Schizosaccharomyces pombe: one gene and its partner. The protein of the gene in region 2 binds, or shares a complex with, the protein of the main gene of each other region. Each region holds a gene or a part of one and is shown on either strand. Other genes may lie near its edges.

Region 1 (5,385 bases), on a different chromosome or scaffold from region 2:
ATCATCGAGACTGTAATAACAATGGCAACCATTAACATCCGACGTGATGTCAAAGATAGCTTCTATCGTTATAGAATGCCAAAACTGCAATCTAAAATCGAAGGCAAGGGAAATGGTATAAAGACTGTAATCCCGAACATGTCCGATATCGCTAAGGCGTTGGGAAGACCCCCTTTGTATGTAACTAAATTTTTTGGTTTTGAGTTGGGCGCCCAAACCACCATTATTGCTGACATGGACCGTTACATTGTGAACGGTGCTCATGATGCTGGAAAGCTTCAAGATCTGTTGGATGTATTTATCCGCCGTTTTGTGCTATGCGCTTCTTGTCAAAATCCGGAAACTGAATTAAGCATTAATAAGAAGGATCAGACAATTTCCTATGATTGTAAAGCTTGTGGCTATCGTGGTGTCATTGACGGTCGTCACAAGCTTACTGGTGTCATCGTCAAGAACCCTCCTGCAAAAAAGAAGTCCCACAAACATAAAAGGGATTCTCCTGTTGCAGAGGAAGAAGATGGTGCTGAAGACGAACTCACTCGTAGAATTCGTCAAGAAGCCGCGGAACTCCCTACCGCTGAGGTCGTAAATGACGAAGATTGGGCTGTGGATACCAGTGAAGAAGCTGTTCGTGCTCGTGTTCAAGAGTTAGAAGGTAATATGAAAGATTCGCTCACTTTGAGTGACTTACGTGGCGACGAGGAAGAAGCGGAATCTAGCCGTTATGATCAATTCGGTGAATGGCTTGAAGACAACTACCCTGGTGTTTCTGATGTTGAAATTTACAAAAAGATGAAGGAAGAGAATATTCATCATAAAAGTAAAGCTATTGTTGTACTAGTTCAATGTATTATTACTTCGCCTTACGTTGGGGAGTTTGAAAAGCATGGTGCATTGTTTAAAAAGCTTTGCACGACAGATAAACATGAACGTGCTCTTCTTGGTGGGTTTGAACGTTTGATGGAAAACACTGAATTAGTGCACATCGACGTTGTTCCCAAGGTACTCTTGGAGATTTATCAGAATGACTTGGTCTCTGATGACATGTTTGAGAAATGGGGAGCAAAGGCTAGCAAGAAATATGTGAGCCGTGAAACTAGTAAGAAGATTCATGAAGCTGCTGAACCTTTTTTGACATGGTTGGCTGAAGCAAGTGACGAATCTGAGAGTGAAGATGAGGAGGAAGAAGAAGAAGACGACGACGAATAAGAACGGCCTCTTTTTACTCTCTACCACAATTTGTGCTTTGAGAATTGAATAACTTACAATCCTGTTCTCTAAAATATTAAGCTGATTCTTTCAAGTTTTAGCAAATTAGTTTCTCGTAAGTTGAATATATCTATTAAAGTGTTCTGATTTTTGTAAAATAGGCTAGCCTTTTAAAGTGTTCAATTTATACTATTCAAAACATCCAACTAATTCCATAATTTCATTTTACTAAAGATTTTTAAAACTGATTAGTAATGTCTTTTTCTAGCATGAAATTCTAATTAACGACTTTCTTTATAAACACTTCTATCGCAAGTCCGATGTTACATGTTTGTTGTATAAGTTTTTGAAAAACATGAGACTGTTGTTTTGACAATTCTTTGCCACCACTAGACATATAATCAACATTCAGTCTTCCATCTGACAATACGGATAGAACAATGATAATTTGTTCGGAATTATTCAGTTTGTTGATTTCTTGATATTGGGCATGAACGATCGGATGCTCCTTAAAATATAGAGAGAGGTGAAGGGAGGAAGATGCCGCAGTCTCTGCTAAATCTGCTGATTTGATATTTTCCAAAATCAATTGTAATAATAAATATTGGCGTACAATAGCAAGTATTCCTCGAATTTGCTTGGGATGATGAAACGGTACGTGACGCAAAGAACGTGCGGAAACATCGAACCCTGTTAGCTGGATGGCTTGATTTTTATTAATGAATTTGTAGTTCACGGTTGATTTTGAAGGTAAACCAAGCTGGTGAAATTAGTTAAGTTGATATTTAGGGAAAGTACTTACCATATGACTATAATTTTGGACAGGCCAAGGAATGGTAATGTCATGGACATGAAGCAAATCAAGTAAAGGTTTGACGCCCTGCTCTGGTATTATTAAATTGATATCATCAAAAACTAGTTCCATTGTTGTAGGAATAGGTGTCAAAGTATTTTCAAGTGCCCAATTAATTTTTGATGATTGGAGGATAGGAGGAGAATTTAATAAATTATATCCGAATAACAAGTGAGGTAGCGACTCATGAGACAAATTATCCATAAAAATTTGAGTGCTATAGGTTTTATCCAAAAGCTTCCAGTATACAATACGCAAACCAAGTTGTCCTTCGTAATTACTGAGAGGCTTTCCGTTTCCATGCATTATAACATTTTCTTCTTGTGCTAGCAAAGATAATTCTGCTTCATAAATAGCATTTAAAGAAGAGGATAGTGAGTCTAAATATTGGAAACAACTTTGTTGGACCGAAGGAGAGGAGTGATCAAAGGTAGCCAACCATTTGACATTCTTTTCAAATAGTGGGGTATTGCAATTGTAAATTGCATCCTTAAGTAATTTTTCTGCAACAGGATTATTATATTGCTCACCACTAGCGTTTGCAAAAGCCAAAACAACGTTGATATCTTTTGGAGACGCATTTATGGGAACAGTGATCTAGATACTAATTAGTAAAACGGTTATGTACAGGATTTAAACTTACGTCGATCAAAATTATTTTTCCAGCTAAACTGAGGACCACTTCATTGGGTTTGGAGGAGTCTTGAAAAACCTCCAGACCATACTTTTTAGCCAAATATTCAAATCCAGTTACAGAGATATCATTCCAAGGAACTGATGATAGACAATCAATCCAATAACGCGTCCAGTTAATCTGATTGGGGTTAGAGGCGTTTCGACGGAAATGAACTTCAGAAAAGAGATGTGGTCTATCCATCGAAAAGATTATTAAAGAAGATTTAGTAAATTAGTCGTGTATTTCGTATTTAATCAGCTTAAAACACTGTATATAAGCGCAATTTTATGTCTGTTCAGCGAGCAATTTAATTTGTTCTGCAAAAAGGAAGCCTTTACTGCCATCAAACTATTTGCTAGAAACGCATTAATTGCAAAAACAAGTAGGTAATTTTGAACCGCCTAAAACTTAGTTTCAATGGGAAGGTCTGTGTGATTGATTTATCTTTATAACGAGGGTTAAAACAGTAGTTATGGGGAATTTTATATGTATACAAATGAAAACCAATTTTAAACCTTGGACTAAAAAAAACCCAAAGTATGTTCACTCAAACTCTTTTTAAAGCATCAAAATATATATGCAGTAAATCTTAATAAAATATTTTCTTTTTGGTAAAATTTGTGCACAAATCAATAAGCGTTCTATGTTTCATTTACAGCTTGCGTGCCCTTTCAGAAGTGGTTGGTATTGATATGCAGGGTGTAGCGCGGCTTTAATTAGCCACGAACGTACTGCTACTAGTTTGCATTTTAAAGAAGATAAGAGACTGTAACTGAAGGAGGGAGCTTATAGAAACAATATTTTGTTTCAAAAAAGCCAGTAAAAGCGTAATATAGTGAGAATTTTGGCTTTTTGAAGCAAAGTTTGCAAATGGGCTATTTGCAGTCCCAAAAAGCGGTTTCTCTGGGCGACGAAAATACGGATGCATTATTTAAACTTCATACATCAAACCGGAAAAGCGCAAACATGTTCGGAATAAAATCTGAACTATTAAACCCATCTGAACTTTCTGCCGTTGGTAGTTATTCCAACGATATTTGTCCAAACCGCCAGAGTTCTAGCAGTACAGCAGCAGATACGAGTCCTTCGACGAATGCCTCAAATACGAACATTTCTTTTCCGGAACAAGAGCATAAAGATGAGTTATTTATGAATGTTGAACCAAAGGGAGTTGGTTCATCTATGGATAATCATGCTATTACTATACACCACTCGACTGGCAATGGTTTACTCCGAAGTAGTTTTGATCACGATTATAGACAGAAAAACAGTCCGAGGAATTCCATACACCGTTTGTCAAACATAAGTATTGGTAATAACCCAATCGATTTCGAGTCATCTCAGCAGAACAATCCTTCGTCGTTGAATACTTCTTCACATCATAGGACATCTTCAATATCGAACTCTAAGAGTTTTGGAACTTCCTTATCATATTATAATCGTTCATCAAAGCCTAGTGATTGGAATCAGCAAAATAATGGGGGGCATTTGAGTGGGGTTATATCTATTACACAAGATGTATCATCCGTTCCTTTACAATCTAGCGTTTTTTCCTCGGGGAACCATGCATACCATGCTTCAATGGCTCCAAAGAGATCCGGTAGTTGGCGTCATACTAACTTCCATTCTACTTCACATCCCAGAGCAGCTTCTATTGGAAATAAGTCTGGAATTCCTCCTGTTCCAACTATTCCTCCTAATATAGGTCATTCCACTGATCACCAACATCCTAAAGCAAATATATCTGGATCCCTTACGAAATCAAGTTCAGAATCGAAGAATCTTTCTACAATCCAATCCCCTTTGAAGACATCCAATTCTTTTTTCAAAGAACTTTCCCCCCATAGTCAAATAACCCTTTCTAATGTTAAAAATAATCACTCACATGTAGGATCACAAACCAAATCACACTCTTTTGCTACCCCCTCTGTCTTCGATAACAACAAACCTGTTTCATCCGATAATCACAATAATACTACTACATCATCTCAAGTTCATCCCGACAGTAGAAATCCTGATCCGAAAGCTGCTCCTAAAGCGGTTTCTCAGAAGACAAACGTTGATGGGCATCGTAACCATGAAGCTAAACATGGGAATACTGTCCAAAATGAGTCTAAATCACAGAAATCTTCCAACAAAGAAGGTAGATCTTCAAGAGGTGGCTTTTTTAGCAGATTGAGTTTTTCGAGAAGTTCTTCTCGTATGAAGAAAGGAAGTAAAGCTAAACACGAGGATGCCCCTGACGTACCGGCAATACCACATGCTTACATAGCTGATTCTTCTACCAAATCTAGCTACCGGAATGGAAAGAAAACTCCTACGAGAACGAAAAGCCGGATGCAGCAATTTATTAACTGGTTCAAACCATCCAAAGAAAGAAGCTCTAACGGTAATAGTGATTCTGCATCACCTCCCCCTGTTCCAAGACTTTCGATTACGCGTTCTCAGGTTTCCCGTGAACCTGAGAAGCCCGAGGAAATTCCTTCAGTTCCTCCACTACCTTCAAACTTTAAAGATAAAGGACATGTACCTCAGCAACGAAGTGTTTCGTATACTCCTAAAAGGAGTTCTGATACGAGTGAATCATTACAGCCTTCCTTATCTTTTGCGTCTTCAAATGTGTTGTCAGAACCGTTTGATCGTAAGG
Region 2 (4,484 bases):
TTTCATTTGTTGCTCCATTTGAACCTGAGACTGATCAGCCTCCTCTTCCACATCAATGTCATTTTGTAAAACAGCGTTTAAATTCCTTCGTTTATTCAAACTTTCCTCACGTTTTTGTTTGCGGATTTCAATTTGCTGTTCTTCACGTTGCCGACGAAGTTCATCAGCTTTGAAAACACCTTTGCTTTTAAAACGGCTTCTTCTATCTGATAAATATCTCGATTCCATTTCTATAGGAATAAACTTTTTTGATATCCTTTTTACTCTTTTTTTTTTAGTTATCTAAGACAGTTGTGGTTGCTGCGAGTTTAATGAGAATAAGGAGGTAAAAGAGCACTTGTGTCGTTCCAAGAAGCAGCCGGCACCCAGGTAACAATGTTCAAAAATAATAAATTTAGAATAATTTGAAATATATCATTTTCCGGTTCAAATCGTTGAAACTTTCTAGATCATTTTTGTTCTGTCATTGGAAACCTTCGCACCATAAAACGGGTAAAACAACATGCTTATTGAGCTCATCAACCAATTTTTCTTGGGTTTTTAACAAGCTGAATGCTATAACAAGAATTCAAAATTTAAAAACAAATGGAATTTTTCTTTAAACAACCTGTCAAGTTGGCCTATTTTTATTTTTATTTTGATTATATAATACATATAGTTGAGCAATTTAATCTTTGAATAAATACTTATTTTTCAAACACTTCCGTATCTGTTTTGTAAGCTATTAATATGTATACATTAATGGTCCATTGTCTAACTAGAATTTATTTGGTAGCTATTATTAATATATATATTTTTTATTTTTTTTGTGATAATAAAGATTAATTCGGTATTTATATAAATTTAGGAATTAACTTAACGGCGCTTGAAAACATATTATCGTCATTCAGTTAAAATGCTCTAAATCATATACACTATAGGAAGTAATCTAATTATATAACATTAACTTTATTAATTCACAAAGTAATTATGAAGACCATATAAACGAAGCTGATAAATCTCTATATCCTTGTTTTTTCCATACATTATTTCTTTCCTTCAGTTGTATGCATCATTTATTTATACTAAAAATTATTAATAGATTGACTATTTAAAACCAGAAACGAAGGAAACAGAAGAGATAAATAAAGAAAGAAAACCAACGATTTCATAAGAGCCAATGAAAACAATATTGCTGTTATAAGCAACCGAAAATATATTTAACATCTGACACATATCCAGTAAAATTATAAGAAACATTTTCTTGCATATTATTAAACCCAAATCCCAAATGACCAGAACGAAGTCTAGTGATTCAAAGCTTATGACTTTGACAAACCTTTGAATGCAACTTCATCCATTTCTTTTTTTACTTTCTTATATAATTCCATCGTTGCTTGGGCATCCTGGACGGAAGAATGCTGTCCAGATTGAATGTCACGCCCAAGAATCACTTCAGCAAGTTTTTTAAGCCCTGGTGTCCTTCCCTTGGCTAATTTCCGATACCCAGAAAATCTGCTGGTATCACGAATCATTCTTCTTGGATGCGATAAAAGTAGTACTTTGAGATCGTTATGGACAGCATGTCCAACCAATACTCGATTGTCGAGTATCTTAGCAACTTCTGCTTGTACTTTTTCAAATGAAGGTGCATCCCGCATGTGAAATGACTTGACACCACTGACCCATGTTCTCCAATCCGTAACCTTTTCTTTAGGACGGACATAAGTATCATACACGACATGACCATGATAATTAACTATACTGACGCGTGCAAGAACTGACATGTCATCTGCCACCCCAACCATTTCACAATCCATTGCAATATATTTCCCCAATGTTTCCAAATTGGTTTTTCTGGTAAGCTTGGAAGCATCCACGCCATATGCGTCAAGGACTTGAGATTCAGGGATATCATTTTCCTTAGCAAATTTCTTTAATTCATTCATGCGTTTTTTATCGACGATATAAGAATTCTCATTCTCATTGTTTTTACCTTTCACACTTTTAAGGTATTTCTTTTCATTAGAATGCTTTTTTTCAACCCGTCCACTCTTAGCGCTGTCGAGTTTCTAAACAACCAATACCGTTAGTATACTTAAACAAGAATCTTAAATGACTTAATGGAAACTATAGCCTTTCATACCTTCTTTAACTTTTCCCAATTGGAAGAAGACATTGCTTGTGCATAAGAGCCAAAGTTGGTGCAAGAAGCAATTTGCAACCTCTTTCAATATGATTCTCAACGCGGTATCACAAATATTTTATCACATTTTAGCACATTTCATTATTTTGAATAAAGCGTTGATGATAGTACGTTACGTTAAGTATCATTATATAAGTCACATGCCTTGTATTTATTTATCTATAGTATATATACATATATTGACAGTGATGCACCATTTGTTGCTTCTTGATGTAACTACTGCCAAATATACGAGACTATGAAATAAATTAACCTCCGTTCTTCGGGTCACCAATGAGCTATTTCAGTGTGTACCCACTTCGTAAGAATATTATAAGGTACCGGTGGTTAATGCATTTCCTAATAAAAGAATATTGTGAATATTCAAGACCCGTAGTAGCATATTCGTTAAACATTTAGTGATTTATGTTTGCTTAAAAGGATAGATTGTATTGAATTTGTAGCATTGTCCGCTATCTTTTTAAAAGCAGAGTACTGCAATTTTAATAACAATGCACCTTCACGTAATATGAAAACACTCAGAATGAATGGATTATCAAAAAGGTACTGAAAGGGGTGGGACTCGAACCCACGAGCTTTCGCACTAGTGCCTTAAACTAGCTCCATAACCACTCGGACACCCTTCCACGATCAAAAATATAATAAATATGTCGAATGTATTACTATTATCATTGTTTTTCTATGTTAATTAAAAATACTTAGCTGATTCTGTAGTTTCTGTAGTTTATTTTTTTTCGCTTTCCATTAATTTTTTTTTAAATTTTATGTACTGTTTTATGTTAAATTTCTTTTGCTTATGTCAAGCGTGATTCTAGCTTAATTCTTTTTCCCGATTGCTAGACAGTCGGTTTTTAGGTCGATACATTACAATTACAAACAATGTCATAAAATCAAAAGCTGTGCATAATAAATATCCGATGCTGAAATAACAGAAAAGTTAATTAGCGATTTATTGTTCTTGACATTTGCGCTTCAACAATTGTTACCTGCATCATGGACCTTCAACAACTTGCGACTTTCAACTCTTTTTAACTCATATTACACCTACATAAAAAAATGGCATGTAGGTGTACTCAGCTTCAAGATACAATTGATGAGGTAATGGGACTAGTTTTCTTTTTCTATTCTAACCTATGTAGGTTGCCACACAATTTTACTCTTCCATTCATTATTTAAGTTCTCATCATGATTTCGTTCCTTTACCTGGTCAAGAAAAGGTTTCTGATTCTAAAGGTATACAAGATTCATTATGATGCTATTCAAAGTAGCTACTAACAAATTATTAGTGAACCCAATTTCTGCTGAAGAGTTACAATGTACGATATTAGACGTCCTCTAGTCATTTTATGTGCTAACTTCTTTTTGTAGTCGCTCAAAGGGATCTAGCAAAAGACTTGGTTACAAAATTTATGCAAATAGACACTTTGATCAACCAACTTCCAGGTATTTCCACTGCACCAAAACATCAATTAGAGAAAATTAAAAAGTTACAAAACTCCATTGAAGAAAAACAATTGGAGAGGAAGAGTTTAGAATCAGAAAATGAAGATTTAAAATTACAATTGGCCAAGAGGATTGAAACATTTGGCCGGTTATCATGTGTCCTATTTCAGCCCTGATGATAATATGTAAGCAAAATATGCATACTAGCATACTCTTCTAGTTGCCAGATTTATTGAAGTTTTAAAATATCTTTGTCTGAGCTAAGAAAGAAGATGTGATCGCTGGAAGTGGGCTTATCATACGGGCAGCCTTAGATATACTGTTTTGACAAATGATTCCATTTTTATTAACGAGCTAATCTTTTTGAATCGATTTACATAAATATCTATCTACTTGTAGTTTTTAGAATGCCTTTACTTCATGCTGACGAGTACTTGACTGAAGTAACTAATTGTGAAAGCAGCTATGAAGTCTTAAAAAATAAACTAATAACAAACAGAATTTGAAAAGTAAAAAAATAGCAAATTAGCAAGGATAGTTTCTTATAGAAGAAAGAAAAAAATCCCTGATTTTTTAGAACGTTTAACGAAATTTACAAAACAATACGCTATTTTTGTTTAAGAAAAAAAAAATCCATTAACCATTCATTGCAAGTTCCTTTGCTATATACGACGGGAATTGAACATCACCATATTCACTTTAACTTAATTGTAATCATGGCTCCATTTCCTTTGAAATCGTTTATTCCCCCTCAAGTAGCGAATCCTACAGTAAGATTAATTAAAAAAGTGATAAATATAAACGAAAATCTAACTAAGATAGGCTTTGAATGCTTTTCCTAGCTCTGCTAGGATGG

What was found. The genes of interacting proteins can lie anywhere in the genome.
Region 1: srb7 (region 2) and med1 share a complex: the UniProt entries of both Schizosaccharomyces pombe proteins name them as parts of the mediator complex.

What each region holds. Positions count from the first base shown.
Region 1 is NC_003424.3:535,949-541,333, reverse strand, and holds med1 (mediator complex subunit Med1), read right to left. Parts: upstream 3,425-5,385; 5' UTR 2,940-3,424; coding exon 2,706-2,939; exon of another isoform or gene 2,660-2,705; coding exon 2,012-2,659; intron 1,970-2,011; coding exon 1,487-1,969; 3' UTR 1,322-1,486; downstream 1-1,321. Other genes in the region: translation initiation factor Tif5, read left to right, coding at 22-1,209; DYRK family cell polarity protein kinase Pom1, read left to right, coding at 3,609-5,385. UniProt on the Schizosaccharomyces pombe protein: Component of the Mediator complex, a coactivator involved in the regulated transcription of nearly all RNA polymerase II-dependent genes.
Region 2 is NC_003423.3:3,912,370-3,916,853, reverse strand, and holds srb7 (mediator complex subunit Med21), read left to right. Parts: upstream 1-3,215; 5' UTR 3,216-3,241; coding exon 3,242-3,283; intron 3,284-3,324; coding exon 3,325-3,418; exon of another isoform or gene 3,419-3,471; coding exon 3,472-3,501; exon of another isoform or gene 3,502-3,549; intron 3,550-3,553; coding exon 3,554-3,804; 3' UTR 3,805-3,984; downstream 3,985-4,484. Other genes in the region: importin alpha family nuclear import signal receptor adaptor Imp1, read right to left, coding at 1-228; exoribonuclease Rex4, read right to left, coding at 1,302-2,051, 2,126-2,158; atp17 (F0-ATPase subunit F), read left to right, coding at 4,345-4,398, 4,451-4,484. UniProt on the Schizosaccharomyces pombe protein: Component of the Mediator complex, a coactivator involved in the regulated transcription of nearly all RNA polymerase II-dependent genes.